Linked DNA regions of Oryzias latipes. The protein of the gene in region 4 interacts with the protein of the main gene of each other region in a pairwise test. Links are inferred from orthologs where the notes say so. Each region holds a gene or a part of one and is shown on either strand. Other genes may lie near its edges. The genes, in order: exoc7, ppp5c, srgap3, disc1, utrn, fryl and arih2.

Region 1 (4,831 bases), on a different chromosome or scaffold from region 4:
AAATTTGAAAGCAAAAAAAAAATGTAAAAGCAAATATTTATTTATATTTTAATTTGCAAGTTAGAAAGTTTTGTGTGCAGCGTGAAGGCAGAAATATCGCTCCATAGAGGCCTGCTCCCTGAACACCAGCATGAAGATGCTCCACATCTGCCATCTTCATCCTCAGCACAAATGAAGATGTGCTGCTTCAGGGACGACTCTGGTAACCACAGCAACCACTGGACATGAGCTCAGAGCACAACAGTGAAAGCTTTGTATTTACCTGGGATGTAGACTGTCATCACAGCACAGGAAACGAGGAAAGAGGAGAGGATGGTTAGAGAGGACAGTTAAGGAGCAAACGGCTATATCGAGGCGGCTGGATGGAATTCAGCGCCACGTGCAGAAAAGGCGCAAACGCCTGACAGACGCCACATTTTCACATGTATTTCACGTCTCTGTTATACGACGGAGTTCTAGGGCCACAAAAAAAAAAAAAAAGGAAAATAACGAGATTCAAAGTCGTAAATTTACGAGATTAAAGTGGAAGTGAGCATTCAGTGCAGCAAGTGAACGTCACGCAGCAGCAAAGCGGATGTTTATTGATTATGTTCCATTTGTTTGATTTACGATTAATTCATGTTTAATCCATTGATGGGGGGCCTTGCAGGATATCTGCAGACGTTGATGAAGACGTCGGTGTCCCTGCAGCTGTCCAACTTCAATGTCGCCAAAATGTTCAGAATTTCTCTGTTTTTTTTAAACTTAGCCGGAAATAAAGCTTCACAAAATGCTCCACATCTGTCATCTTCATGCACGGCTCCAATAAGCAGAGAACTTTCGTGTTTTGTCTCGTTACTTTATTACTTTTTTGTCTCGTAAGTATATATATATATAAATTTAAATTAAAAAAAAACAGGTTTGTAAACCGGCCCCAAAACTCGGTCGTGCGGTTATGTGACTGCAGGCGGAGGATGGCAGAAGAAAACTGTGAGTTGCTGACCTGGTCTCTTGGGAACCTTTTTGGTGGGCGTGTCCTTGCGTTTGGTTTGGACAGCGGGCGAGTAGAGGACCCCAGAGGAGGCGCTGTTCTTCCGGAAATGCTCTTTCAGGCCTTTGATGGACCGATCCAGCTGGTTGGACCTGATCTGGAAGTAGACGTTCATAAAATCTGAGGAAGACAAAAACAAAAGAAGAGTTTACAATCTGCCTCTTAAAAAATCTCCTCCTCTGTTGAACTCTCACGTGTTTGATCACTTTTAACATTATACTTGGGCTTTGGTTGATCACATGGTTGCCTATGTAGAAGATCCAAAGGCCTCACTACTGTACTGGGACACATATGTGCATCGATTAGCTAAACTAGCATGAGCCAGGCATCACAGCGTCACACTTAACACAAAACAACAGCCAGTTCAAACTCATTTTGAACTCTGAGGAAAGAATCCTAACACATCTGTGACCTTGACCTCCAACTGCAGTGAAAACTGTTCAACAGAAGTCTGGAAAAAGAAAGCCTGTGAGGTTGGTTACGTCCTGGTTACCCTGGTTACGTCCAAACTCCACCAGCCACCCGGTGATGCAGATGATGTCCTGGAGCACCGCCTCAGGGAGGTGTTCCAGCACCACCTCCTCCTGCACCTCCAGCTCTTCGTCCACGCTGATGGTGTCCAGGATGAGGATGGGGGGAACGGGCTTACTGTAGCGCGTCAGGAGGCCGCGGAACTCCGCCTCCAGCAGCTCTTTGCCCTTTTCAAAGCGCGCTTTCTGCAGACCATCAACGTTTTGGAGAGTTACTTGAATCTCACTCAGTCTCAAAATGCAATCTTGGTTCATTTATTCTTCTTTTTTTAGAGTCATACATGTACAGACAAAGGCTGATACTGTACCACTGTGTTAAGTTCAGGGCTGTCGGGGTTGTTGTCCTGAAAGTACTCCACTGCTTTCTGAATCTTTGCGATGCAGGCGAGGTACTCGTCCAGTCTGCCGGCAGGTCTGCGACAGAGCATGCACGTTTTCACAGCCGGCTCATTTCTTTGACTTTACTTCAGGAGGGGGTGCTGCTCACCCCTCACGGATGATCCTGTCGGTGTCTTTAGCCACGTGGTAGTAACTGATGACATGGTCCATGCAGGACAGAGTCTTGTCCACGTTCTCCTGCAGCCGCTGCAGATTCTCGGTCTGTTTGTGCACCGGGATGATGGAGTTCTCCAGCTGCATCAAGCGGCTCTCGAACGAAGACAGGATGGAGACCTTTCAAGGCACAAAAGGTGATCAGCAGGTTGATTCCCGGAGGACGTCGACGGTAGTTAAAGGCACCTCTGAGATGAGAATCAAAAATCTAGTATAACGCCTCAGATCTTGTTTATGGATTCCGTTAAGACATCTGATTAATCAAAATCAAAACCATCTTAACTTTAAACTTAAAAGAACCCCATTTGTAAATCATAAAAACTATTTAGATCTTTTTGCATCATTCTTGTTTTTTAATTACTAAAACTAAATGCTGCTTTCCAAACTATATCATTTTTTAGAATGACAGATTGACAGATAAATCAATGTTTAAACTGTTTCATCAAATTCAAAGCAATTCAGTATGTATTTATTTCTTCTTGGCAGGAAGACGGCACTTTTATTTTGAAAGAGCCGTTGAGCTCGCGCCTTTGTTTTCAGATCACAGTAACCCATAGTGAAGGGCATACTGGTCCTTCTTTAGTGGAAGCTTCTCTAAAGAATCAGGAGCCGGAATAAAACCACTTATTTCCCATCGAAGCAGCTGCATAGACTCTGTTGAGAAGAAAGTCACGTGACATGGAGCCGCCGTACCATCCCTTTGGTCAGCTGGTCGCTCTTCTCCAGGTTTTCTCGGATGAACGACAGCGTTTCTTGTTCCTGTAACATAGCCGATACCCGGCAGCCCACTCGTCACTACATTTGACTAAAATGCACATGAAAGTGGTTAACGTTGACATTCAGGAAAGGGGACATAAAAGGGAATAGTGTTCTGCGGGAAGAGGCTCCTTCCGCTTCACCGACCTGCTTCAGTTTTTCCTCGATCTCCCGCTTCCTGGCGGACGCATCCTCGATGGGAATCATCCTGGAGCTGATTCCCGTCAGAGCTCAGGCCTCCAGCGGACTTACTGCAGTTAACCGTCCCGTTTAACTCGGAATATAAACCACCACCATTGAACTCCTCTGATGTTTTCAGCTGGAGACAGGAGGGTGCGTCTAACCGGATGGTCACTTCTGGTTTGATTTTTCAAAATAATGTACCCGATTCGCATCGAAGAGCAAACAAACAGACCCGAATACATACAGATTTGAAGAAAAGCTGTATAATATAGTTTTTAACTATAATATACTTTAGCGTGATTTGAATAAATATATTTAGTGTAATTTATCGGATAAATGCTTTTAATGTGAAGGCCAGTTCGTTCATATTTCCGGTGTGTTCCTCTCATTCACATCCGAGTATGTCCAAAGCGGAACGTTTCTTCAATCCCGCACCGCTTTTAGGATAACAGACGTTCAAGCGTTATTAGTAACACTACTATTAACATTTCCCCATAATAACTACTACATTTCAAAAATTCTATATAATGTGGCATACATTGTCACGGCCTGACCAATGGCGCAGTCCGGCCGCTTGACGTCGCTGTTGCACTTCTAAAATTAGAGGAAAGTACAGACGCGTAATCATAATAAAAGACGAATTCGGCGATAAATAATCTGGTAAATCATAAAACTCTTAAAAGGCCAGCTTGATAAAAAGGTTTCCATGAACTAATCTACTTGTTTTATGCATCACTGTGTACTTTATGTCTTGAGGAATTGTTAAAACATTCAGGAGTGCTATTTTTGAACACAGTTTAATTTTCCCGACAATCTGACTGATAGCAACTTCAATAACACTGGGAAAAAAAACTCATCTACAAAAAGAAAATCCACCCAGAGACTGAGAAAGATCCTCTGATTTGAAACTCAGATCCTAACTTTGACTCTGGAAGTGGGATGGAGTTTGAGGCTTCATGCTTCCAGACTAACTGCAGTCACTGCTCCTTCAGTGGATTCTGCAGCGTCTCCAATACTGACTTTTATTGATTTATTTTTAATAAGAGCTCACACTTTCAGGAAAATGTTACAAATGTATTTGCACAAAAAGGCTTTATACGGCATCCTTACTTACATATTTACAAATGACTTGGAATACTTTGGAGTAAGTTCTGCAAAGGAAACATGTTTTACAACCATCCTCAAAGCCTTCCAGCTGTCCTGAAGTGACTAGAACTAAAAACATGAGACAAACAAAAAGGCTCGATACACTACATGCTAATGTAAAGTTGTACCATTAACATGTCCCACCTGTAGCGATGGTTTGAAGCTGTATATTGCTGGGAAAACACAGACAACGGCTTTAGTCAGCCACATGTTCTAACCCGTCTACGGCTGGACTAAAACATGTTTCTACGTGTCCTTTTGGTAAAAGAATAGATCACAGCATTAGGTGTGATGTATGGGTTCTTCGTCGCAGAGCTGAAGCCTACGACTCCTCTTCTTTCGACAGCGTCTGAGGAGAAAACAGATTTTAGACACAAACAGAAGGAACAGACTCGCTGACATTTGCATTTCCCCCAGAAATGAGTTCACCTGCTTCAGGAACTGTCGACCAAAATAGTTGGTGGCCATGTTCTTCAGGTTGGTCTTCCCTCCTACTCTGCACCGCACGTACCCGTAAAGGTTGGCCCCTTGCAACACCACAGCCATGATCACCACCGGCTGAGTGACAGACAGGAGAACAGCAGCTTTATTATTGGACTGAATACAAAAATGAACAAGAAACAAAGTCTTACCA
Region 2 (4,080 bases), on a different chromosome or scaffold from region 4:
CCGAGTTATAATCGGTGATACAAGCCGAGGACATTTTTATTGTCTCATCAAAAAACTGAAAGTCATGTGATGTGCTCTTATTTTGAAATCTTTCCCCAATGATGACAATCCTCATGTTGTAGCAGATGACTGACTTTTGTGTACTGTTTATTGTTGTGGTCTGTATTTAAAAGAGTCACTTTGTGACTTTTAGAAAAGAAATCTCTAAATAATGACACGTTTTTCACGTCTTTTATTTTTTAATTCAGTTCCTGAGGCAGATGTTATCAAACCCTCATGAAATTTAAAACATTTGCTGGTAGTGAACATTAAACAGTGAAGTCAAAGTTTTGTTTATGAGTTAACTGTGTGGTGAAGAAGCTTTGGTTGAACTACTGGCGCTTGTGAAATTGAGTGTTTTTGTTCTATTCTTGTGTTTTTGTGGTTTTGGGGTGTCACCGGCTAATTTTATTTCTAAAATAAATGTAAACAACTTTAAAAGGAAAAAACCAAAAACTTTAAAACAAAATATATTTAGATTCAAGCAGCTCAACGACTGAAAACCTCAGACCACCGTCAGTCTATGTTGGAGGGGAAAGATTTCCTTTTTTTAAGGTTAAAGTTCCTAATTAGCTCAAATATTTAGATGTTTTTTTGTTTCAAATATTCAAGTAAAACAGGAATTCCTCCTTTAAATTAACTAAACATTTATGTTTGTTCTGCACAGAATTATGGAGGAAAATAATATTGGAGGATTTGTGTGTTTTTCCAGAGAAAGATTATGAAAATGCCATCAAGTTCTACTCAGAGGCTTTGGAGCTCAATCCGTCCAACGCCATCTACTACAGCAACCGCAGCCTGGCCTACCTGCGCACCGAGTGCTATGGCTACGCCCTGGCGGACGCTACCAAGGCCCTGGAGGTGGACAAGAACTACATTAAAGGCTACTACCGCCGCGCCACCTCCAACATGGCTCTGGGGAAGTTCAAAGCTGCTCTGAAGGACTATGAGACGGTCAGTGACGGATGCTGCAGGTTTATCACTCTCTACCCTGATCCTCTTTAGTGTGAGAGGATGAAGGTTTAATAAAACAAAGCTGTTGAATTGCATAAACTGTATACTATATGATTTCTGATGATAGGCTTTTTTCATAGAGCGCCAATTTTGCACTTTAATTCAGTTTAGGTTCAGATTATCGATCAGGGCAAGAAGATGCATCATAGTTTCTGTTTGGTTTTTAGGATCTTGACCCGTTGTGTGTATTTATCTTTAACACAGAAAATATTTGCTGGGGTAAAGTTTTTGAATTTAGCTTTGCTGTAAGAAAATTCCTAATTTTCACAAGTTTTCATGAATCTAAAGGAAATTTCTACAAATCAGAAACTTTTTGGTTTTATTTTATCTGGATTCATCTTCTGTATCAATTTGTTACTAAATTGGAGAAACCACCCGCAGAGCGTTGAAAGGGGGGGGGGGGTTGTTTATATAAATATATATGAATAAATACAAGAATAAAATCGTAATTTTTTAAAAGGTAGTAATTTCACGGACAAAAACTCAACTTTTTCAAAAAGAAAGCTCGCTAAATCAACAAAAAAATGAAAGCAGATACATCCAAATTCTTGAGCAGTTTCATGTCCGCCTGATTTCTCCTAATGTTCCTTTGTCTTTGAAATATTTTCAAAGCTAAATGAGACATTTTATGATTTAAGGAGCGGGACTTTTTCCTTGTAAATTTACAACTTTTAGAAGCATAAAGTTATGACTTAATTCTCATCAAATGTTGAATTCATTTTCAAACGGCTTTATTCTCATAACATAAAGATTTTGTTGTTATTATATTTTTAAAATAACTGAATGCCTTTAATATTACTACCTTCTAAGTTTGCAACAAGTTTTTTGGTCATAACTTTTGTCATAATTATACAACTTTATTCTCAAAATATTTTGAATACTTTCTCATAATTTAACGGCTATTTTTGTGTTTTTGTTAGTTTGTCTTCTTGAATTGTGTCTCCAATTAGTTTGTCGTACATTGTAGAGTCTGGGTTTCAGTGTGGCGGTCAGAGCGACGGCGCTGACCGAGGCGAAACTTGACATTCGTCATAGACAGATTTGATGGAGAGAATCCGCTAGTGTTTCAAAATAAAACTTCCTGTAGAATAAGTGTAGTTGTAGAGTTGGAGTTCTGGCATTGCCTGTCTGTCCAGGGGGAGGCTTCGTCGTTTTTTCCCAGAATCCGTTTTTCCTTACCGCCAAGAAGGGTCTAAAGGCAGCGATGTCCAGTTTTAGTTTAGTTAGTTCAGTTTCTATTAAATTGTGTGTGTTCATGATCCTTTTAAATTTGATGTTACCCTACATTTATCTAAAGCCTATCGAGACGACTGTTGTTGTAGTTTTGGGCTATACAAATAAAGTTGAATTGAATTGAACAAGATAGGTAAAACCCAAAAAGTTGTTCTGTTTTTTACCTCCCCTGGTACCAATTGACCCACGGGGCGGCTCCAGGGTGGGGGGTGGGGGTTAGAGGGCAGCACTGCTCTAGAATCGAGCAACATTTTACTCACTCGAGTTCAATCAAACGGCGTTTAGGCTGAGCGTCTCCCCCTCAGACTCACAACAAGCTCTCTTTAGTGTTGATTTATTTATTTACCGCTAATCGTTTAGCACATAATGGGTTTATTTTATTTTTTTATTAGTATTATTTTATCTTTTATTTGTTTTATTTTTAATGTTCGGTTTAGCAAACCAAACAAAACCATTTTTCTGTTGTTGTTATTATAAAATGTTTGAAATGAATGAACTAAGAATGCAGGACAAAAACAAAACCAGCTACCAAACCAGAGGGTGACGACATCCCATGAGCAACATGGGATGAGTTCATTCATATATTTAACAATAGAACCAGAATAGAAAGCGCTTCCACTGGTATTTATTTTAATGAAATTTTGTTGTACAGATCTGCTGATCTAAACTGGTGCTTCATTGATTCATGAATGCTGTGAAGTCGCTTCAACTATATATTTTTTTACGCAGCTGCAGTTGTTTCTCCTTCAAACCCGGCGGAGAGACGTCAGAAACGCTCCATCCGGACAACGTGTTCTCATATTTTCCCGCCGTCTCTGCTTTGTGGCGACAGGTCGTGAGGGTTCGACCGAACGACAAGGACGCCAAGATGAAGTACCAGGAGTGCAACAAGATCGTGAAGCAGAAAGCCTTCGAGCGAGCCATCGCCAGCGACGAGACGAAAAAGTCTGTGGTGGACTCTCTGGACATCGAGAGCATGAGTACGTTTCCCGTTCCGAGGCCAGACTAACGCGACGAGGAGCCGGGGCAGGAAGATGACGTGACTTTGTGTTGCAGCCATCGAGGACGACTATGCCGGCCCCAAACTTGAGGATGGAAAGGTGACGGTCAGCTTCATGACGGACATGATGGAGTGGTTCAAAGAGCAGAAGAAGCTGCACAGGAAGTGTGCGTACCAGGTAGGAGCGGTCGGCCCTCAGGCCCCCCGCCGGCTCAGCGTTCCTTCACATCTGTTTGCAGTCTTTCTCCTCCTCTTCTTCAGATTTTGGTGCAGGTTAAAGACGTTCTGTCGAAGTTACCCAGTCTGGTTGAAATCACGTTAAAGGAGGTGAGGAGGACGTCCCTGATTGGTTGGTCAACGGCATCAAAGTTCTCTAAAGGTGTTTGTTTTTCCTTACCTCCTGTTTCCTCGTAGACAGATAAGTTAACTATTTGTGGGGACACCCACGGCCAGTACTACGACCTCCTCAACATTTTCAAGCTGAACGGCTTACCGTCAGACGCCAACCCTTACGTATCCTTCCGTCACGGCGGCACGTCGTGCCCCAGAGTCGTCAAACGCAGAACTCGTGCGTCATTTTCCTTGACTGCGGCGTTCAGCTGTTCAACGGGGACTTTGTGGACCGCGGCTCCTTCTCCCTCGAGGTCATCCTCACTCTCTTTGGCTTCAAGCTGCTCTACCCCGACAACTTTCACCTACTGAGAGGTGCGTGACGCCTTTGAGCGCCTTCGCGCGCCTTCGCGCGCCTTCGCGCGCCTCCGCTGAACTAAATCAGACATGTACGGTGTTCAGGA
Region 3 (4,080 bases), on a different chromosome or scaffold from region 4:
TCAACAGGAAAGTAATAATAATTATGTGACAGATGCTGTACAATCATGAAAAAAATAAAGTTGCACATTGATGGTTCAAAATGTCATGAATCTACAAGGAAAAGGTCAATCAAACACTACCTGTGTAGTGAATGTGGCAGACATTTCAGAGAAATGGGATAAACATCTTGCTGATCTATTTTGCTTTTCTGGTAAACGTACAACTTTCTCTCTTTATGAAAATAAAACTTCTTTTAAAAATGCATTACTTTCTTCTTGCAGACTTTTTCAATCAGGAATTTACAATTTCCTTCACATAAAATTTTGACTTTTTTCTTATAATTTTACAACAATTTATGACGGTGGTCCTAATACTCTGTTGTAGAAACCAGCTTTCAAAATAGAATGAAAAAAATGACAAATGATGTCACCCATACTCCTGCACATGCAGGCACGCACACAAACAAAGTACACACCGTTTGCCCATGAGTACAAAATGCACACAGCAAGCTGGGGTGGTGCTCCTCGTCTCTTTCTACTTCCAAACAAATTCTAGTTTGCGCTTTATTTTGGTTCTTTCTGTATCTCGCCAGAAGCAAAACTCTTTTGAAAGTTTTCAATAGACTCACTGATGGTGGAGATAAAGTCCAAGAAGCGCTCCTTTGGAAAGAGAGGATTCTCCAGCCCTCTGAAGTACAGCTTCAGCACCCCCGCCACTGAGTTTATATCATGCTCATTTCGGTCATCAATCAGTGGATCTTCACCTAATTAGGAAGAAACACATTTGTTAGTAATTGTTGAAAGCCTACAGGGATGTGCAGTGTTGTGTTGGTGATGTAACAGCGTCTGTGCACACTCGCCTCTCTCAAATGAGTTTTTAATGTCGTTGACCTCAACCTGCGATCCTGGCACGCGGAATATGCCTTGCTGTTGCAATCCTGATGAAAAAGAGCCACAATGTCCTGATCCTGAGCTTCAGTAGTCATCTAAATCCCATAAAAATCCCCCAAAACATAGTTTGGAACAGGAAATTCAGTCTTATCGTGGAGGGAGTTGCAGTTTCTTTCAGGCGAAGGCCCTTCATTGAGGCTGCAGCATGTGGTTTCAGTTACAGCATTCTAATCAGTTTTCATTGCATGTAGATCCAGAAAAAAGACCCCAAAGGGTAAGTCACCAAGCTGAAGCTGTATGTGAAAAGCTGGGGGGGACTGGCCTGGATGTAGCAGAACTTTTTCTGTGCAACCTACTAAAACTACTTGTGGAAGGAGAGAGTTCCACGGTGATCTCCAGCTAACTCAACTGCTTATGAGGTTAAAGGCGTTTATAGACTCTTTCTTTTCTGCTCCTTTTGCAGAGAAGCAGTAGGGGAAACTCACCATATAGGTTAATATATCTGACACAGCTTTCAACCACCGGGGGAATTGGTTGACCAGAATCCTACAAACCAAAAAAAAAAAAAAGGAAACAGATATGAATTTCAAAAAATAAATCAACAGATGCAATAATTATTGTCATCAATTGCTTGGTTAAAACTTTGCAAAGAAAGATAATGGGAAAAACGGTGAAAAATAAAGTAGGTTACTTCCATTCAAGCACAATTAGTTTTAGTTTTCCCCTGCAACAGCAGTACCTGAATGCGAGTACGGGCATTCCTTCTCCCTCTGGGACAGAGAACGGCAAAGCAAGGCAGAGGAAGCAGAGAATTGCAGTTAGAAAAGTTAAAACGACTTTTCAGGAGGTTAACGCAGGCGGAGCACAGGGACTGTAAGAGTATAGACATTGCTGCGTTTCCCTCTCATTTCTCCACACTGTTTGGATTTAGAAGAAAAAGCCAGACAGTCAACTCAGCAGGGAAATTAACGGCAGGTGATTTCCTCTCAGGCTGCGTCCATTAGAAAAAAAGCAAGCAGAGGGATTAGAGGTTAAAAAGTGGCGGTATATCAAGAGCCAAATGAGCTGGAAGAGGGAGGAAAGCTCAAGTACGGAGCGGGACGAGGGCAGAGGCTATAAACGGCATAACTGCCTGCTTTGTGGGGGCTGCTGAGACATACACCTCCACTAGGGGGTACCTCGATGAAAGTCTCCATATTGCCATTAAACAGCTTATGGTAATTCATGGAGCACGGCCTAGGTTTCCGCATTTTCTGTGGTTTAGGGGGGAGAGTTGGGGGCCTGGGTAGACGATGGAAAAGGCGGACAAAAACACAATTTTTCTGTTATACTACAAACTATAACAAAACACACATTTTATGATTTAAACAGTACATCAAAGGTCAAGACATGAAGAAAGTAAAAACATTTAATTGAAAATTCATTGTGAACAAACCGAACTATTGTCGGTAATCTGAACCAGGGGGCCCCCCCTCAACGGGGTTCAGATTACCGACAATAGGTTAAAAAAATAAATACCAAGTACACTGATCACATTGACTGGTAAATTGCAAATATATACACGTCACCATGGATGTAGCTGCTAATGTGCTTTCTCATTCCTCGACTGGCCACATGTCAATCAACTCAAAAAACAACCGCGATGCATACGCAGACGGATCGTTCCTGTTGTCGGCACACTGTGTGCTGTGACATTGTTGACATGGCAACTACGAACACACAGGTCCAGTTCAACAAGATGTAGAAGGAAAAATGACAACTGTAATTCCAAAAAAATGTCTGAATTACTTTGAATCCGCTTCAAAGATGTTTTGGAACGAATCATTTCAAAAGTAGCTCACATGCCAATAAAGTGTGAGCCCCCCAGCTCTACAGTAACCAGGAAAAATCTGAGTCTGAAAAGCTTTAAGGCAACAAAAGTATTCAAAAGAACACAATACACTTCAAAAAATAGATACTTCTTTCACTGCTTATTTTAAACTTCACAAAAATCAATCCAAATGCTAAATGACAACACAAACCTACAGGAATTAGACAAAAGATATTCAAAATAATTCATGAACAGTGTAGGTTTATTTGTGGGCTTTTAATAATGCGCTCTGCCTTTTAGTTGTTTCAAACCTGATTAGTTTGAAAATCTGTGACAAATTTGATAAAAAGAAGCGTAATCAGGAATTTACCTTGTGGTTCCACACTCAGCCCTTTCCCCTGCGGAATAAACATAAAAGAGCTTTTATTTGATTTTGCCTTTATGTCAAGAACACCCCCACCCACCCCCACCCCCGGCTTTGGTCGGTGACGGGTTGTACTGAGGAGAATAAGGACAGACAACATCCCAATTGAGGCAGAGCAGAATAGAGATGTTCTAAAAACCGGTCACCGGACAAAGCCACGGAGCCGCCGCTGTCGCTGGAGCCTCCGGGGATGCAGAGGATCCCCAACAGCTTCTGACCTCCTCCCTGAGCAGAAAATTGGGGGTTGGCAGCTGCAGTATGTGCAGACGGGAGCGGGAAAGGGTCTGTCACTGGTGAGACTGAACAATGCCTACGCGGTTCACTGAGCTTCTCTTAATTGTGTGGGTTCCCATCAACAAATGCACATATTTCATAGAGACCTGCACAAAGACAGTCTATGCAGAACACGGCATCCTGGTTCCACCGTTCAAAGATGTGTGTCTTTATGAAGACTCTTTGTCAGCCAAAACAGGGCAGTTCAGCAGAACAGGGTTGTGATCATAAAGAAAGACAGAATAACCCCAAAATATTCCAACATTACCGGTAGGTCTTTACAATATTTGTAACATCAATGAAAATAAATGTTCTGAAGAAAACAGTTGGCAGATGAGACCAGGTCTGCAGCTGGCAGGTGAGGAACGGCGAGCCCTTCCAACTTTGATTATTCTACAGAAAACATCTCCAGGAACACACTAATGAGCTTTCATTTAAAAGGCAAGGCTGATTAATCTATAAACTACACCTTTCCTGCTGCCAGAGCACGACATTATGATTTTATTAATACATGCAGCAAGATGTAAACACCATGTGGCACTTTCCAGTCTCATCTTGTTCGTGCTGTCATGGCCACACCCACGCATGCATGCACACACACAGACATGGTGTTTTGAGGCAAATAAACAAACGAATGAAACTCATCAGTGATTGATCACCTGAATAATTAAACATGGGAGGCACCTGGAGACGCCATATGCTC
Region 4 (4,080 bases):
CATTTTGGGTCCATGGCCTGGAATCTCCCCAGATCGTAATCCCGTTGAGAACTTGTGGTCAATCCTCAAGAGGCGGGTGGACGAACAGAAAGCCACTAATTCTGACCGACTCCAAGAAGTGATTCTGAAAGAACGGGCTGCTATCAGTCAGGATTTGGGCCAGAAGTTGATTGACAGCATGCCCAGTGGGAGTACAGAGGTCCTGAAAAGAAGGGCCAAGACTGCAAATACTGACTCTTTGCATAAATGTCATGGAATTGTCCATAAAAGCCTTTGAAATGTATGAAGTGCTTGGAATTCTATTAACTCTGAGAAAACTAAAATTTGTGTCCATGACTGTAGACTAAATAGAACAATGCCGACTGACATTCTGAAAAAAATATGTAAGGAGATTTGTGGGGTAAAATTAGAATTTATCAATAGGTCAAAATGTTTCCACCGGAAGAAAAAGAAGGTGTAAACAAAATATTAAAGGTGGGAGTGATGTTGTTTGCCTGTTACCTGCCCCCGCCGCCCCCTATTACCCCCTTTGACCCACCCTCACTGGCTGAACGGTTGCTGTACGCCCCTCAATCTCCCCCTTTTGCCTCCACCACCCTGGTCAGAGCTGCATGGGACAAATTCGCGTTTTCTTTCAAAATGGCGGCTTATCTGTTAGTTTTATCTCCGTAGCAACCATTTACGTTTTTGGTCGCCTAGGGTTGACAAACAGGTCTGTGTAATATTTTTTGAAGTATCAGCAAAAGTACTTTTTCGGATTTCCTTGGCAACTGAAGTTTTTGGTTAACCACGCCCACATTCCTCATATATTCGTAAGGTATTAAATATTGTTTCGTTCAGCTTTAGCCAATGACCATTTGTCTAAAATCTTTAGAATATTTCGGTAAAAAATATGCGATCAACAGGGGAACGCCAAATTTGTGACCTCGCCACGCTAACACAAACTTTAAAACCAACATTTTTTCCCCCGTGAAGCTTCCCGATGACGCTCAAGGAGTTGGGAGGTGATGGCTGCTTGTTTGTTCCAGCTTCTTGAAGAAATTTGCTATTACTTGACTGAAATGCTTTTTTCTTACTGTCTTTTATTAAACTCTCCTTTCATTGCAGATCCAGCGTTTCCCGCCCGTGAGCTCACTCTTCATCTTCCTCCTGTCGCGGAGCTTAACGCCTAATCTCTGTATCAACAGGTGGCAGAGCGTTGGCGACAGCTGGCAGCTCTGGGCGAAAGAGGCATCACCGAAAGCCAGGCTACATGAGAGGAGAGCAGTCCAGGCTGCTGAGCTCTGCAGGTACCGAGGAGGAAGAGGAGGAGGAGGAGGAGGAGGAGGAAGAGGCGATAAGCGGCTGCTTTGGGAATGGAAACTGTGGATGCAGCACCGCCGTCACCCATGGCCCTCCAGCTCAAAGACTGAGTCCAGCTCCTGCTTTAATGGTTAATAAACCAACGGGTTTGAGGAGTGAGGGCGTCCTCGGCCCGGCTGCAGACATCCATCCTGCTCCAGCAACATCCAACCATCTGGGTCTGACCTCAGAGCCTCATGATGAGCTCAGCTTAAGGCTGAGGCCGGCTCCCCAGACCTCAGCAGAAGACTCTTTCACGTCCAGTTTCAGTTTCATTCAGCAATCGCTCAGCTCCAGTCAGAGGACCGGTTCTTCAGCTGCACCACTACAGGAACCAGAACCACCTACCAAAGCCCCCGAAGGACCACAACCCAAACCTGACTCCCAGCAGAACTTCTTAAAGCTCTCGCTTCCTGTCCACTCTTCACCCGGCCACGCACAGAAGGAGGACCTGCCGTCAGGAGGGAGGCTCTGGCGGGAAAGTCAGTGTTACGGTAAAGAGGAGACCTCCCACCTTCTGGACTGCGAGCCCCGTCCTCTGGACGTGGAGGTCACCTCCTCGCTGTCGGTGGATTCAGACACGGCCTCAGCCTCCTCTTTCACCTCCGGTTACGAGAGCGCCACAGCGGGCTTGGAGTCGGGCTGGGACGGCGTGGTGAAGAAGTACGAGGGCGTGCTGCAGGCCTGCCTCCGAAACAACCGCGCCTACACAAAGGTGGGCATAGCGGATCCTCTTGAGGGGGGCAGAGACTTCAAACACATTCACTTTAAAGTGCTGTCATTGCTGAGGGAGAACTCATGTTCTGTAGACTGTTTCAGATCATTAAATCAAATAAATCATGGCGCTAAAGTGCGCTAAAGAGAAAAAGCAATTACATTTAAAGCCGCGAGTGGTGTAGTATGGTTTAGCCCTCCCTCATTGGCTGAGTGGCTGCTACAAGCCCCTCCCTCTCCTTTCATGCCTCTGCCAGCCTAGTCAAACTTGCATGTGAGAAGAAGAAAAAAGCACTTTTTTTCAAAAATGGCGGCTTTTCTATTTGTTTCATCTCCATAGCAACCATTTAGTTATTTGATCGTCCGGGGGGGAGGAACAGGTCGATGTGCATTTTAGAAGGATCGCTAAAAGTAAATTTTTGGGTTTCCTTGGCAACAGAGGTATTTTGTTAGCCACGCCCACATTCCTGATATGTTTGTATCGTATGTCATATAGTTTTGTTCAGCTCAGCGAAAACTTTTCTTCAAAGATGCAGTAAATAGGAAAAATTGCAGAAACAATCTGGTCCTTCAGTCCAGAACGGCTGTGGGACGCAGATAGTTAAAGTTTTGAATCTTTCGGTCCGTGATGGCTCAGGTCAGATGGATGTGAAGGTCATGACAACATTTAGAAACAACCACCTTAAATATCTTGTTCAAAGCTAAGCCCGACAGGAAATGGAATGATGAGCAACAAAGGTCATGGTCTGGCTTTCAAAATAAAACACAAACGTTTATAAAATTAAAGGTTTGGACCATTTGTCATTAATTAAACACATTTAAGTTATTTTCAAAATCTGTGTTAAAAACTGGAAGAAAGTTAAAAAAAAAATCACACTTTTGATTTAAAAAAAAAGAGAATGGAGCAGAGCATAAAGTTATGTTCATAAGTTAAAATCTCCAAAAGCAGCAGAACTTTCTGACAGAATGACGGTCATTGTACTTGTCCCGTTCCCTGTGGGCGGCGTCCTGTGGGCTGATGTCTCCGTCTCTTCTCTCCGCCTCAGATCGAGTCCATGATGTTGAAGCTGCAGAGGCTCCAGCAGAAAGCCGTTCTGGACGACGACTACGACGCAGGTGAACGCCAAACACAACGTTTTAACCCTCTGAATCAAGCGTTTTATGAGGAACGTTTTGCTTGCATGCCATTATTTCACCATTGCGTGTGTTTATAGATTTTCCCATTAAAGTTGTCGGAGTGGAAGGAAGTGTTTGCAGAGCGATTATGACAGAAATCCCAGCTGTCAAAGGACCGTCAAGATTCAAACATTCATCTGTTTAACACTCGTGATCTTTGGGCTCTACTGCGTTATTTAACAACATGGCACAATCCAAACATGTTACATATGATAAAAGACCTGCAGCTAAAAACGGTTTTTGAACCAACCTCACTGAGGCTTGCAGGCGTTTGTTTGAACGGGTCGTCTGAGGCCACGTGTCACTCCGGGTCAGGTCAGGACTGTGACTGGGTCAGAGCAACACTTTGATCCGGAGCGCTGTCATGATCCACTTCCAGCCAAACATCAGTCTCTAAATGGTTTTTGTTTACAATAAAATGGAGGGGTCATGTGGTTTGCCCATGTTATAAAACTTCCTCCACTGTGCTTAATAACACTTTATGTCAGGGGTTTTCCTAAAATGAAGTTTTGGATTTTTCTAAATGTTTATGTGGATTATGACCAAATGTCTCTGCACCTTTAAAAACCCACATTTATCTAAATTCTCTTCAAGATAAAAGCCTTTGGCTGTAAATTTCAAAGCGTGGTTCTGTGGCTGGACAGAACCTGCTGGAACCAGCCGGCTGTCTTGATGCTTTTAGCAAGTAAATAATTGTAAAAATAGAAAACTACAGATGAGCAAATATGAAAACATTTGATCCGACTTTGGTTGTTGGTCATACAAACCTGGATTTTATTGTTAATTCTGCAGGGATGGTTCTGGTTTACAGAAACAACTGTTGCATTATGGGAATTCTTTTCATAATTA
Region 5 (4,080 bases), on a different chromosome or scaffold from region 4:
GCCACCAGAGTGCACGCCCTCAACAATGTCAACAAAGTGCTTCAAGTGCTGCATCAAAATCATGTGAGTGCCTGGGATTTTCTTTTTTTTAACGTTATCTGATTTTTTTTTTTCTCTCTAGTTCCTTGGTTGTAATTTAGTGAAAGCTGCAACATTTATATGTGTTAAAAGACAAGAAGAGAAAAGAAATAAAACCAAAAAATACTGTTAAAATAAAAGTCAGACTGCATACATGCAGCTTTGTATGAAAAGAAATCATCTTTTAGTCTCACCAAAGTCAGAACTCTTTAACTTCCTGAATGAAGCTGCAAAAATTACTGCCCGATGCAGTTCCCAAAGTTACCACAAGAGACTTGCAGAGAGAAACAGTATTCATTTGTTTTGATATAAAAACAAAGATAAACATGTTTCCAACCAGGTTAATAACCAGTTATAGAGATTCTAAAATGCTAGAAATCTCATTATCCTTATTTATTGAGCATTAAACTTGCAAATAAAAAGGGGCATAGTCTTTTAATAACAGATAGCCTTCCAACTTTATTTGTGAAAGGTTATCTCAAGTTTGGCTCTTGGTTTAAGTGAATCCTTGCTTTAGGTGAAAAACTTTTCAGTGGCCACATAGCAGAAGCGATTAACGGATGTAACCTTGGGTTAAAAAGCATTGTGCGTGAAAACACTAAAAGCCGGAACAAAATGTAATCTTTTCACATGATGTGGTTAGGTGGCCATGGTGTTTACCATTATGTGATAACAAGAGGAGACATAGTTTCTGCAGAGGGGCAGTTCATTAGAAATTAACCTATGAGTTGTGGGCGGGACGATTGGTGCAGAGTAAGCCTGCTCCTTCTTTCCAACATCCATCTGCTTTTGTTTCACGCTAGCTTACAGCCCTTCATGACCCCAACCTAACGTTGACGGTGCAACAAAAATGGCGAACAATATCAGACCTATCCAGCTCTGCAGTTTTGAGCCAGATGTCAGCTCATACGAGGAAAACCAGGACGTACATGGATCTATTTGTGGATACATCAGAATGGAGTGGAGCAGGGAGCTTGTGGCTTGACGTAGTAGTTTCTACGTCACACGTACAAGCTCTATCCAATGGCATTTATGTGTGTGCTCCTCATTCGATTAAAGAAATACTCAGAAATGCAATTTTAAGATCAATTTTCTTTATATATATCCTCCATAATCTGAATAATGCCAGCAAGACCATGTTTAAAACACAATTTTCATGGGAGTGGGTCTTTAATGATTTGACAGTTCTTTTTAATGCATAAAATGCATACAATGCAATTCCTTTAGAATTACCTTAAAATGTGAAAATTCACAGTCACAACAGACGAAACTTGGGCTTCTATTAACATAACAAAAATATTAAAACTGAGAGTCTTTAAAGAGGACAAAGTGTCCGTCTGACTCATTTCTTTTCGGTCCGCCAGGTGGATCTGGTAAACATAGGAGGCACAGATATCGTAGATGGGAACCACAAGTTGACGCTGGGCCTCATCTGGAGCATTATCCTTCACTGGCAGGTGAGCTCACTCACACAACATCTCATCACCATTGCTCCATTAACTCCCTGTGTACCGACAATGACAAAAAAAAAAAAAAAAAGCAGATGATGGAAAGTGCATGCTTGCATGCAAACATACTAATCATCATCTGTGTTGTCTGCCTGACATTTGGAACAGCTGTTGACACTCTGTGCTGGAGCTGCAGCTTTTCATTACCGTTTGTGTTGATTTCAGCTTATAGGACTAAAAAAAACTCAGTTGTCTGTAATAAAGTGTCCCTTTTTTTGTGTGTAGGTGAAAGACGTCATGAAAGACATCATGTCCAATTTGCAGCAGAACAACAGTGAAAAGATCCTGCTAAGCTGGGTGCGACAGTGCACACGCTCGTACCCTGAAGTCAATGTACTAAATTTCACAACAAGTTGGTCTGACGGCCTGGCATTTAATGGCATCCTGCACCACTTCAGGTGAGCAGAAATGTCCCAAACGCCTTCCGCCTGACTCATAAAACCTCTTTTTTTTCTGGGTTTTGTTTGCAACATTCTTTGCGTATGAGGTGGATTTTACCTGCACCTTGGCCGTGTACCCTTTGATTCGGATTTTAAATCACATCCTCAAACTGTAAAGAGTCCGACGGCTGCAGTAAAAAAAAAAAAAAAAAAAGCTCCATGAAGGAGAGGAGCTGCGGGTGTCGGGAGGTCTGGGTGTTTGTGCACATGTGCACACTGCTTGTCTTGTTCTGTTTAGGCGTGCTATGTCACTGTTTGCTCACGCTTTGTGAGTGCGCGCGCCTACACTGTTGAGCGTGAAAGAAAAGGCGTGGGGGTAAGGGATGCACCCCCCCTCCCTGTCTTTTTTATTTTACCCCCTTGTCTTTACTAGTGACACACACAGGCCTGTGAGCTGTGAGAACCGTACTGTTGGTTTAAACGTGGGCCCGGGCTTTGGGTGGATCACTGAACACACACATTCCTCACTCGATAGTTGCCGCTCCCGCCACATTTTCATCTGCAAAAACCTCAGAACAGCTGAAAATCTAGCTGCAAAAAAATAACAGTTTTTGGGTTTTTATTTATGAAATAAATCTTCAATACATGTAAGCATCCATGTATTTATCCATAGTTCCACAAATTGTTCTATTTCTCTCTTTTTATTCCATATATGTATATTACTTTATTTTTTTATTGTCCAAACAGCTGGAGAGCACCTGGATTTTCGTTATCACAAGCTTCTTGTGTAACAATGACATTAAAGGATTTCTGATTCTGATTTCATAGAGTATATTCGCATGGTTAGATTTTAATTTTTATTAAAATCATTTTTAAATTAAAAGCTTTTTTCCCCCTACCAAATTAAAAGCCTATATTTTTAAAATGAAAAAACCTTTGTTGATTTAATAAATGAGTATAACATCTTGTAAGTGAAGATGAGTGAAACCAAATAATTAGATTTCCTTTAATCCCAGCTCTATTCTGAAATGTTTCATCCCTTAACTGTGTTGAAACCACAGGCCAGAAGCCTTCAGCTGGGATCAGGTTGTCAGACTGAGCCCGATGGAAAGACTCGACCATGCTTTCACTGTAGCCAGAGATCAGCTGGGAATCGAACGGCTCCTGGATCCTGAAGGTACATTTGTCGCTTCCATCATTTGGCTTTTGCTTAGCTTGAAAGGTTATACTGCAGAGTTGTTGAAGGTTGCTTTTTATTTGACCAAGATTCCGACAAATGAAAGCAGCATGTCATGAAGTTTACTTTCATATGATGGCAGCAGCTGGATGAACTCAAAGGAGGGAACAGGTTAAAGAAGTGTTGGGCTCCAAACCTGCAGCCTTTTAGTTGTGTTAAATCAGTAATAAATGTTGCAAGTCGGGTCCTCACCCTTCCAATTTTATACCTCTCTTCATCCATCCACATCTTTTTTTTCCAGATGTGGCAGTGCAGCTACCAGACAAGAAGTCCATCATCATGTACGTGACGTCGCTTTTTGCTGTGCTGCCCAAAGATGTGAGCATGGATGCCATTAGAGAGGTGGAGACCTTACCCCGTAAATTTAAAACCGAAGACGCCGTTCCAGGGCTCAGTGTGCAGGTAACGGAAAACAAACCATGTGAGGATGTGGTGGAAGAGGCCTTTGGCCACATTAAACTGGGTTTCATCTGAGGGAGAATCACTCTGCCGTACACGCACAGTCTGGAAAAAAGTCGCACACAGCCACAGAGGCACGCTTTTATTTGGAATAAATGAATATCAACAAAAATACAAATAGTAAAAGATACAAGTCTGTTTTAAAAAAGACAAATCAAAAAATATATGAACCAAGAAATCAGTAACAAATTCCCAAAATAAGCCTTTTTTTGACACACAACTGCAGCTAACCTCTTCATGATTTTGATATTAATGCAAACCAATGTTTCAAAAATCGAAATTAACTGGAAAAAATACATAAGTGGGCAAGAACATTTAGTGAAGGGAATATTAAGCACAAATTCAGAGTACTTTTTTTTTAAAGTTATTTATCTCAATTAATCATAGATTATAATAATAATAATATTATTATATTATT
Region 6 (4,080 bases), on a different chromosome or scaffold from region 4:
CTCTCCTCGCTTGCAAAAACCTGGGAAACGGTGGATCTGACAGCACTTGATGTCCTTTTTTGTAATCCTCTCAGGTCCATCAGCTTGGTTGTGAGGCTGTGATGCTGCTGCTGGAGCTGAATCCAGACCAGAGCAACCTGATGTTCTGGGCTGTGGACCGTTGTTACACCGGCTCACGCCGCGTCGCCGCCGGCTGCTTCAGAGCAATCGCTCACGTCTTTCACAACAGGTGCTTCGCTTTTCCGCTTGACTGTTTTCTTTGTAGGTCATCCACCTGTAAAGCGCGATATTTGAACAGCATGTCGCTTTTCTTTCAGGGATTACCAGTTTGACACTGTGGTGCTGCTGAACCTGATTCTTTTTAAGGCAGCAGATTCTTCCAGAGAAATCTATGAGGTGGCCATGCAGCTGCTGCAGGTCAGTGCAAATGCCATCTGCACACTGGGAAAGGCTGCCTGGCCTTGGCTCACTGAAAATGTGTCAAACTTGACAGATCCTGGAGCCAAAGCTCTTCCGTTATGCCCACAAACTGGAGATCCAGCGGATGGACAGCATCCTGACGCCACCATCGCCTTTGCCTCACCTCTACTCTGTGTCGTACTACCAGCTGTCTGAGGAGCTTGCAAGGACTTACCCAGAGCTCACTCTGCCCATCTTCTCAGGTGTGCTGAGACGCATGGCTCTGCATGCGTCCAACTGTCTGTTGAGTTTCTACCACTCAGCCAGACAGCATTGTTCTGCGCTGTTGTTGTAATCTTTTTAAAAAAAGTGTAAAACCCTGCTTTTGCTTCAGAGGTGAGCCAGCGGATCCAGACGGCACATCCCGGGGGTCGACAGGTGATGTTACACTATCTCCTACCGTGGATGAACAATGTGGAGCTGGTTGACTTAAAACCGGCACGGCGGGCTGAGGAAGTCAGCAGTGCAGAGGAGGAGGAGGAGGAGCAGGACGTTGTGATGGTCAACAGTCGCCGGTGGCTCCGAGGAGAGGGCTGGGGGTCTCCTCGTGCAACCACCATGGTGCTGAACAATCTTATGTTTATGACCGCAAAGGTAAGCGCATCCAGAAGACAAACAACTCACACATTCATCTTAATCACGGTTAATAGTTACAGACGAACCCGTTTTTTTAAATATTTTTTTATCGATTGCATGACAGCGCTACAGTTATTATTATCCTTTGCCACAACCTAATTTTGCTGTTTCACAGATGATTTTAATGTAAATTTGCTAGCTTTTTTTTTTTTTAAACAGCTTATTGTGTTGTGCGTCCTGATTGGATGTAGACCTCCTACACATCCAGATAAATAGTTGATCATGAGCAGATTTTTGGTTTCATTCTAATATGGCTGTAACGACTGTCCAAAGAGCCAAATATTATCAATCTGTTCCCAAAAAATTCAGTGTGAATATTTGTAATGTCCAAAAACGCAGATTCACGATCTTTCCAAATACAGTATAGTAAACACACATCAGCAATGTAATTATCACTGTAAAATTCCAGATTAATGTTGGATTTTAAGTATAAACTAATCAAACAAGCTTTACTGACACCAAAGCTAAGAAATCTTCAGAGTAAAATGTCAGAAAAGGTTCCCTTTTTTCAAAGAAAGTATTTCTCATAGATGAAAAAATGGAGCCAAAATAACCAGTTCAGTATCGGCCCGTCGGATTGAAAAAATACTGATCCCGATATACGTCAAAATACCAAATATTGGTCCAATTATCATCCTTGACTGATAATCGGTGGACTCCTAGTTTCAATACTGGACTAATTTTTCTACAAAGTTTGAACTTTGAGAGTTTAAACGAGAAAAAACTATGAAAATGTTTGTCTAAGAAAACATCTGTAATTGTAATAAATCCAGATGACCGCTTTGTGGATTGGACCTATTGCTGGTTATTTTTCAATCTTCACTTTATTGTGACTGACTGATCTCAGAATATTTGTTTTGTTATCATAGTACGGAGATGAGTTTGCCTGGTCGGAAATCGAGAACGTTTGGACTACTTTAGCAGACAGCTGGCCAAAGAACCTCCGAATCATTCTGCAGTTTCTCATCAGCATGTGTGGAGTCAGCAGTGACCCCAGCCTTTTGCCCTATGTAAGTGACTGCCACCCCATGCCCCCCGCCCCTGCCCTGTGCCCTGGGATGCCCTCCTCATTCACTGCCTGTGTTTCCAGGTGAAACGTGTGGTGGTTTACCTGGGCAGAGATAAGACTATGCAGCTGTTGGAGGAGTTGATGTGTGAGCTGGAGATGACCGATCCTGTCAGCTCAGCCATCACACACATGGACAACCCTCCTTATTACCGCATCACTTCCAGTTACAAGATTCCCTCCGTCACCTCAGGTTCGCAGAACTTACTGGTGCTGTGCAGAAACATGCGTGTTCCCAGCAACAATACCTTAGATTCTGTGCATGTTCTCACAGGAACAACATCCAGCAGCAATACCATGGTTCCAGGAAATGAAGGGCAGCATGACGGCAAGCTGAAAGACCCCAACATGGAAGAAAGGTTCAACCGGACTCTTTTCTTTTTCTTCTTCTTATGATCGTAGAAAATGAAATGAACAGCAGCAGTCATCACTGTGTTCATATTTTTTCATAAATAACAATAATTGGCATCAATGGAACTAAAAGCTCTTCTTGCCATTAAACAGACTTTTATAGAGATATTTTACTACAACTTTTGAAATCTTTCTTCAAATTAAAACAGATTATTTTTAAAACAACAACAAATGGAACCAAACATGACCACATGTCTCATCTAATAAATCGTCATGCTGAAATGAGTCAAATCTGTCTTTTAGAATCTAATATTGTTGAAAATGACTTTTTCCCTACTTAAAAAGTCCAACTCTGATCATCTTCTGATCTATTGTAAAAGTCTTCACTGTGGTCGATTCATTAAGATAAAAAAAACCTGTGTTGTTATCTAGGACGTAGATTCTGCTGAGCGGCAGCATTAGAAATTCATCCCCGAGTTGTAGACGGGACTGTTGACGTGGAATAACCCCCCCTCACACACTCCCCGTGCCGTAGCAGAGCATATTTTCTATATGACAAATGAGCTCTTTTTCTAACAGCATCTTTATGTCGGCTCCTGATTCACAGTGATTTGAGTAAGGAAACATTCAGAAATGCAGCTGAAAGCTTAATTTTCTTTATATATGTCTTCCATCACCAGAAAATGCCAAAAGAACATGTTAAACACCCTTTTCATCAGAGTGGGCCTTTAACAAAGTGAAACTCTAGATTTAAAGGTGTTTCGTTTTAGGGTGTGTGGTAATTATAAATCAAACTCGTTCGCTCCACAGTTACACTCACCTAGACATCTACAGTGGTCTGAACAGTAACCCCAACCGCCAGCATCACCGTTTGGAGTCTCGTTACAGCAGCAGCTCTGGGGGCTCCTATGAAGACGAGAAAAGTAAGCCCAAACTCTTCCTGACTCTACGGCAAACACTTACTTAGCATCTCTGCTAAATTCCGTCTTTTATTTTTTAGGCGACTCGATGCCACTTTATGCAAATTGGCGGTTGAAAGTGATGGAGCACAACCAGCCAGAGGCTCTCCCCTTCCCGCCTTCAGGTGGCTGCTGGTCTCCACTGGTGGACTATTTGCCAGAGGCAAACACTCCTGCTGTGCCACTGCACAGGTACGCTGAATGTCTGTTCCCTGTTTTCTTGGTTGTGAGCTGTGCTGTTAAACATACAAACTGTTTGCAGGTGTAACATTGCAGTCATCCTGCTGACGGACCTCATAGTGGACCATGGGGTCAAAGTAGAGTGGAGTGCCTACCTGCACCTTCTGTTGCATGCTGTATTTATAGGTAAGCGGTCTTTACAGTACTTGCCTGAATTAATTAGTCATTTATATAGTGCACAGGCTTGTTTTCTGATCAAATATCAACTCTCATTTTTTCAGGGTTTGATCACCATCACCCAGAGGTCTACAAGCACTGCAAACGCCTGCTTCTTCACCTGCTGGTTGTCCAGGCAGCAAGCAACAGCATGCAGTCTGTTGCTATGGTGCTGTTAGGCAACAGAGACTGCAATGATCCAAAGGTCCTGAC
Region 7 (4,818 bases), on a different chromosome or scaffold from region 4:
ATCCATATGTGAAATCCCCATCAAAGAAAGTGTAACATATCTAGGGATTACCATCACCAAAAACGAACTAGAGAGAAGTTCTTTAAATTTTATTCCCATAATAGAGAAAATCTGAAAACGTTTTAACTTATGGCTTCAAAGAGACCTGAGCCTAAAAGGCAGAGTCCTGCTGTCAAAGGCAGAGGGAATCTCTCGACTCACCTACTCTGCATTATCTCTGTACGTAGACAATCAAACATTAAAATCTGTTGACCAAATTTTATTTAACTTTATCTGGAAAAGCCGTATACATTATTTAAAAAAATCTGTGGTAATGAACTCGTACGAGAATGGAGGACTAAACTTTCTTGATTTTACAACCCTAAATAACACATTTAAAATAAACTGGATCAAATCCTACCTAAAAAATCCTACTTCAATTTGGAATATATTTCCAGATTTTATATTTTCAAACTTAGGCAACCTTAACTTTCTTCTCCTTTGTCATTACAATGTTGAGAAAATACCAGCTAAACTATCAGCATTCCACAAACAAGCTCTTCTTGCATGGGCACTTCTATACAAACACAATTTCTCCCCCCATAACTTCTTTATTTGGAACAACAAATATTTATTATACAAGAATAAATCTTTATATTTTCCACATTGGGTTGAGAAAAAAATTCTACTGGTGAGCCAAATTTTTGACACGAACGGGCATTTATTAAGGTTTACTGAATTCAACACTAAATATAATCTGGTTGTGACTCCTAAAGAGTATGCCATTGTGTTTGATGCTGTTTCCAAAGAAATATGCCAAATGTTTAAAACAACTGCTACGAACGAAGAAATGCCCTCTATGGATGCAACTGCCACCACCACAGGAAAAATTTGTTTTACCCCTACACACAAGAATAACAACAAAAAAATACGTGTGTTGTTTCAAAGGGATGTCATTTCTGTACCGTGTACTAAAACCTACTGGAGACGTTTTGTTCCCGACAGCATCTGGAAGAAAGGATGGAGTGTCACCCAAAAATTTATGATAAATAATAAAATGAAAGAAGTTTCTTTTAAAATAATTCACAAAATTTACCGCACCAATCAATTTATGCTAAATACATTAAAACAATTGACCCTAACTGTACTTTTTGCAAAGAATATCCAGAAACAATTAACCAACTTTTTTGGAATTGTACTATAATTAGAATCTTTTGGAAAAAATGTTTACAATTTATTAGAAATCGCATTCACCCCAACTTTAATCTAAAGTTTGAACATATAATTTTTGGCCTTCATAATAAAAATTTGGACTCAAATAAAAAACTCATAATTAATCTTATTATTATTTTTGGCAAATTTTATATACATAAATGTAAATTTTCTTCATCTTCTATTTTTTTCCCTGTTTTAATCAAACAAATTGAAATGTATATCAGTAACATCTCCAAGAGTCTTAATCAGAAAGCTGTATGTCTATATGAAAGTTGCAGAAACCTGAATGTTTTTATGTAAAATGTATTTAATATGTATGCTCCCCTGGCATATTTGAATTTTATTTTGTAAAATTGTGTTTTGTATTGTACTTCTGTTTTACACAATAAAGTTTTTAAAAAATGCTTAGAAATAAATTAAAAAAAAAGAGAATCGGGCAATTTTTCAAATGAAAATATCTTTCAGATTCCGAAATATAACCGAAGTAATATAAGTTATTTTATTTTTCTGTGAGGTTGAGCCCTAAAGAACAGAAAACAGGAAAGCACTGCAGATGTCAGCAACCAAATTATGGTTACTGCTGATGGGCTCCTTCAGGAGGAAGAGGAGGAGGAGGCTGGGGCGGACATGACGTCACTGATAAGCACCTCCAACAGTCTATCTTCCGCTAAACAGGCAAGCACACAGGTGAACATCGCTCTCCAGATTTCCCCTCATGAAAAGTCCTTCATAGTGGTCACAGAAAGTCCGCGCAGCTGTGCTCCAGCAGGTAAACATCGTGAACTTGAAACGCTGGAAACGCAGACGGCAGCCCTTTAAATGTGTGTGTTCACTCCCGGGCTGCTAAGGGCCTTGTTTACATCTCTGTCCCCGGACTAGAGTAATGAGAGGCGGAGGCTTAGCAAGAGTGGGTGATGAGGCTTTGCAGATTCTTGACCACTTCAGCTTATTTGTAGGGGAGAAAACCTTTTCTTATCTGTAATTGCGACTTGCAAAACATTCTGGTTGTAATTATGTGTTTGGTGTAATAATAGCTACTTATGTGCTTGACATACTTGCTATCTCGTTAGCCTGGAAGCTAATCCGGCTAGCGAGGGAGTTTCGCTCATTTATGGTGAAGTGTCGGAATAAATGCTCTCCGCTTGCAGGCTTTCAAACTCCTTGAATCCCATTCCGAGACTTGTTTCAAAACACGTTATCTAACCCGAGTTGATTGTGTTCCATTTGCCTGGCAAGATGTGTGTCACCCAGTTAGTTGCCTATTTTTAACCTGGCTTCAGCGGAATGCACGTCTGTCGGACGGCTGGCAGGCTTTTCCGAAGTACAGAGTTTAATATTTGTAAATGTATCCCTCCGCTGGGATCGTGTGTCTTTATGTAGCTGACTTTGATTAAATCATTATATAAGAGCTTTTTGTTTTGTGCAATATAGTTCTGCTTTTATATCCTGACTTCCCAGTTTTACCACCAACAGATTTTAGTATTATCTGGAAATTTTGTTGGGGTTTGTAAAACTCACAACTGAAGATGAATTCCTGAGCTGCAAAGCTTTAGAGACCAAAATTAGTTTGTTTATAAATTGTGCTTCTTTAAGGTCAGATTGTGGCTAAACGAGGCGTGGAAAATCCACAACATCCGATGAGTGACATGTAAAAGTCAGTAACTTTTTACAAGACAAATGCAATAAAAAAGCTTGAGTAATCCATCAGCTGTTTGCTATTACAACACAGTCCCAAAGCTATCGTGTGTCTTTAGTTTTGTAATATTCTTCTGTTTGTGCGTTTATTCCTCACAGCCGCAGTCACATCACTTCCAGACTCCATGTGGTTTTTGTTATTCTGCATTTTAAGATTGAAACCACAGTTACAAAATGTTTGATTTGAATTTAGTTTTCCACAGATATTTTAATTTCCCTGATTAATGGCCTGTGTTTACATGTTGCATCAACAAATCATTTTAAATCCACATTTTTGTTTTTTTGTTGTTGATGTAGGCTAAAACCCCACTACAGCCAACCCTTTAAAGTATTCCCAGTTGTCTTTGCTGTTTTTATCCAAAATTGAATTCAATTCAGTTTTATTTATATAGCCCAATATTATAACACAGTTGTCTCAACGGGCTTCACTAATTCATGAAAGTTCATTAAACATTTGCCTCTGTGTTGTGGGTGGAATTGTTGGCATGGAGCCACTTCCCACCCTAGCTTACAGCCGCATGGATCTATTTGTCTGCAATGATTTCATCAGAATGGAGCGGATCGGGGAGCTTGTGGCCAGTTGACTCCAGCTCCTATGTCACTGCTTCATGCATTTTTGTCGACTGACTATGATTCACAACTATTTAAATGAAGCAATTTTTATCCTCTATCATGAGAAAAATGCCTCAGCTCCATTTTCATCTGAGTGGGTCTTTACCTTTGAAGGGTATTGCACGCTTTGGTGCTGAAGCTGACATTACAGCAGTAGTTTTAACAGCAAACAGGAAGGAAAAAAGGAAGAACAACAGAGGAAAGTGGAAGTTTCCTTATGGTGTGAGCTTCTAGTCTAAAAACTCTTAGATTATCAAACAAAAATAAAACCCAGTTTAAACTATTTTTCAGTTTAACAAACAATGTGGGAATTTTTTCTTTTGCTTCAGTTGTTTTTTTTTTTTTTTTTTTTGTCCCGATGAACTCAGGGCTTTTTAAAAATGTCCCTCTCGTCTCTGTTTTCCCTTTGTCTTTCCAGGTTCCCTTCTTTTGCAGACGGAGCAGTAATCTGTGGCCCAAATGAGTGACGGAGAGTGTGACTTTTTCTGCTTTTTCCGTTGCTGCTGAGCGCGCTCCATATGCGCCTCAGGCAGACAGGAAGGCAGGGTGTCCCCTAACAGTGGCACCAGGTGGACAAGTTGCTGGAAGAAAGCAGGGGGGAGGGGGTGGAGCTCCACAACCATTTAGGCTACACCTGAACTAGGTGGATCTGGCAGGTAGGCAAGTCGTCTACCTGTCTGGGTGGTTGATTGAATCGACTGGATGTCCGTGGACATGAACAGCCAGGCTTCAGACAGCAACGAAGAGGACTTCGGGGTGAACTCTGAAGAGGAGGATGAGGATGATGGAGTGGATGAAGAAGTTGACATACCAGGTTATTATGAAGGCGTGGCCAGTGATGTGGAGCAACAGAGCGCGGATTCCTTCGACCCAGAGGAGTATCAGTTTACTTGTCTGACGTATAAAGAGAGTCAGAGGGTGCTGATGGAGGAAGTGAACAATGTCGCTGCCGCACTGAAGGTGGGTGGGGCATGTTTTGTTGTGTTTCTATGGAAAAAAGCAGAGGTTGTTTTTGGGTGAAGATGCTTTTTTGTTATTCTTCCCTAAAACGTAACATTTTTCTGGCTCTGTAATCAGGTTTTTTCAGTACAGACTTTTCTTTTTCCTGCGCTGAGCCTGATTTTACGTGGGGGTGTGGCTTTGAGCCTGTTGGCTACCGGGACGTGTTTGACATTTAGTGACAGAGGTTTTGCTGACTCCTGTGTCATCCCTCCTCTCATCTACCAATCTTTAGGGGGCATTAGCACTACAATTGGCCACAGATGATGTACTGGGGCAGAAATTACGTCACCATAACCTCTGTCTCATGATGTCAAT

What was found.
Region 1: the proteins of disc1 (region 4) and exoc7 interact in a two-hybrid assay, tested with the Homo sapiens proteins (2 studies listed by BioGRID and IntAct). The link is inferred for Oryzias latipes from reciprocal best matches to the Homo sapiens genes DISC1 and EXOC7.
Region 2: the proteins of disc1 (region 4) and ppp5c interact in a two-hybrid assay, tested with the Homo sapiens proteins (2 studies listed by BioGRID and IntAct). The link is inferred for Oryzias latipes from reciprocal best matches to the Homo sapiens genes DISC1 and PPP5C.
Region 3: the proteins of disc1 (region 4) and srgap3 interact in a two-hybrid assay, tested with the Homo sapiens proteins (2 studies listed by BioGRID and IntAct). The link is inferred for Oryzias latipes from reciprocal best matches to the Homo sapiens genes DISC1 and SRGAP3.
Region 5: the proteins of disc1 (region 4) and utrn interact in a two-hybrid assay, tested with the Homo sapiens proteins (2 studies listed by BioGRID and IntAct). The link is inferred for Oryzias latipes from reciprocal best matches to the Homo sapiens genes DISC1 and UTRN.
Region 6: the proteins of disc1 (region 4) and fryl interact in a two-hybrid assay, tested with the Homo sapiens proteins (2 studies listed by BioGRID and IntAct). The link is inferred for Oryzias latipes from reciprocal best matches to the Homo sapiens genes DISC1 and FRYL.
Region 7: the proteins of disc1 (region 4) and arih2 interact in a two-hybrid assay, tested with the Homo sapiens proteins (2 studies listed by BioGRID and IntAct). The link is inferred for Oryzias latipes from reciprocal best matches to the Homo sapiens genes DISC1 and ARIH2.

What each region holds. Positions count from the first base shown.
Region 1 is NC_019877.2:22,409,959-22,414,789, forward strand, and holds the start of exoc7 (exocyst complex component 7), read right to left. Parts: upstream 3,227-4,831; 5' UTR 3,076-3,226; coding exon 3,016-3,075; intron 2,872-3,015; coding exon 2,806-2,871; intron 2,233-2,805; coding exon 2,048-2,232; intron 1,975-2,047; coding exon 1,869-1,974; intron 1,747-1,868; coding exon 1,524-1,746; intron 1,151-1,523; coding exon 983-1,150; intron 275-982; coding exon 263-274; intron 1-262. Other genes in the region: tvp23b (Golgi apparatus membrane protein TVP23 homolog B), read right to left, coding at 4,520-4,546, 4,627-4,755, 4,830-4,831. UniProt on the Homo sapiens protein: Component of the exocyst complex involved in the docking of exocytic vesicles with fusion sites on the plasma membrane.
Region 2 is NC_019871.2:3,339,576-3,343,655, forward strand, and holds part of ppp5c (serine/threonine-protein phosphatase 5), read left to right. Parts: intron 1-751; coding exon 752-993; intron 994-3,118; coding exon 3,119-3,266; intron 3,267-3,342; coding exon 3,343-3,464; intron 3,465-3,547; coding exon 3,548-3,613; intron 3,614-3,700; coding exon 3,701-3,799; intron 3,800-3,885; coding exon 3,886-3,991; intron 3,992-4,078; coding exon 4,079-4,080. UniProt on the Homo sapiens protein: Serine/threonine-protein phosphatase that dephosphorylates a myriad of proteins involved in different signaling pathways including the kinases CSNK1E, ASK1/MAP3K5, PRKDC and RAF1, the nuclear receptors NR3C1, PPARG, ESR1 and ESR2, SMAD proteins and TAU/MAPT.
Region 3 is NC_019863.2:2,730,793-2,734,872, reverse strand, and holds part of srgap3 (SLIT-ROBO Rho GTPase-activating protein 3), read right to left. Parts: intron 3,079-4,080; coding exon 3,051-3,078; intron 2,152-3,050; coding exon 2,049-2,151; intron 1,641-2,048; coding exon of another isoform or gene 1,610-1,640; intron 1,417-1,609; coding exon 1,356-1,416; intron 918-1,355; coding exon 840-917; intron 744-839; coding exon 609-743; intron 1-608. UniProt on the Homo sapiens protein: GTPase-activating protein for RAC1 and perhaps Cdc42, but not for RhoA small GTPase. May attenuate RAC1 signaling in neurons.
Region 4 is NC_019873.2:28,418,134-28,422,213, forward strand, and holds part of disc1 (disrupted in schizophrenia 1 protein), read left to right. Parts: intron 1-1,187; coding exon 1,188-2,056; intron 2,057-3,101; coding exon 3,102-3,171; intron 3,172-4,080. UniProt on the Homo sapiens protein: Involved in the regulation of multiple aspects of embryonic and adult neurogenesis. Required for neural progenitor proliferation in the ventrical/subventrical zone during embryonic brain development and in the adult dentate gyrus of the hippocampus.
Region 5 is NC_019882.2:8,831,700-8,835,779, reverse strand, and holds part of utrn (utrophin), read left to right. Parts: coding exon 1-63; intron 64-1,442; coding exon 1,443-1,535; intron 1,536-1,811; coding exon 1,812-1,984; intron 1,985-3,027; coding exon 3,028-3,143; intron 3,144-3,444; coding exon 3,445-3,605; intron 3,606-4,080.
Region 6 is NC_019862.2:1,257,095-1,261,174, reverse strand, and holds part of fryl (protein furry homolog-like), read left to right. Parts: intron 1-74; coding exon 75-229; intron 230-317; coding exon 318-417; intron 418-493; coding exon 494-662; intron 663-793; coding exon 794-1,053; intron 1,054-1,964; coding exon 1,965-2,105; intron 2,106-2,185; coding exon 2,186-2,354; intron 2,355-2,435; coding exon 2,436-2,520; intron 2,521-3,322; coding exon 3,323-3,435; intron 3,436-3,512; coding exon 3,513-3,663; intron 3,664-3,733; coding exon 3,734-3,837; intron 3,838-3,932; coding exon 3,933-4,080. UniProt on the Homo sapiens protein: Plays a key role in maintaining the integrity of polarized cell extensions during morphogenesis, regulates the actin cytoskeleton and plays a key role in patterning sensory neuron dendritic fields by promoting avoidance between homologous dendrites as well as by limiting dendritic branching.
Region 7 is NC_019865.2:6,526,079-6,530,896, forward strand, and holds the start of arih2 (E3 ubiquitin-protein ligase ARIH2), read left to right. Parts: upstream 1-1,832; 5' UTR 1,833-1,963; intron 1,964-3,919; 5' UTR 3,920-4,203; coding exon 4,204-4,461; intron 4,462-4,818.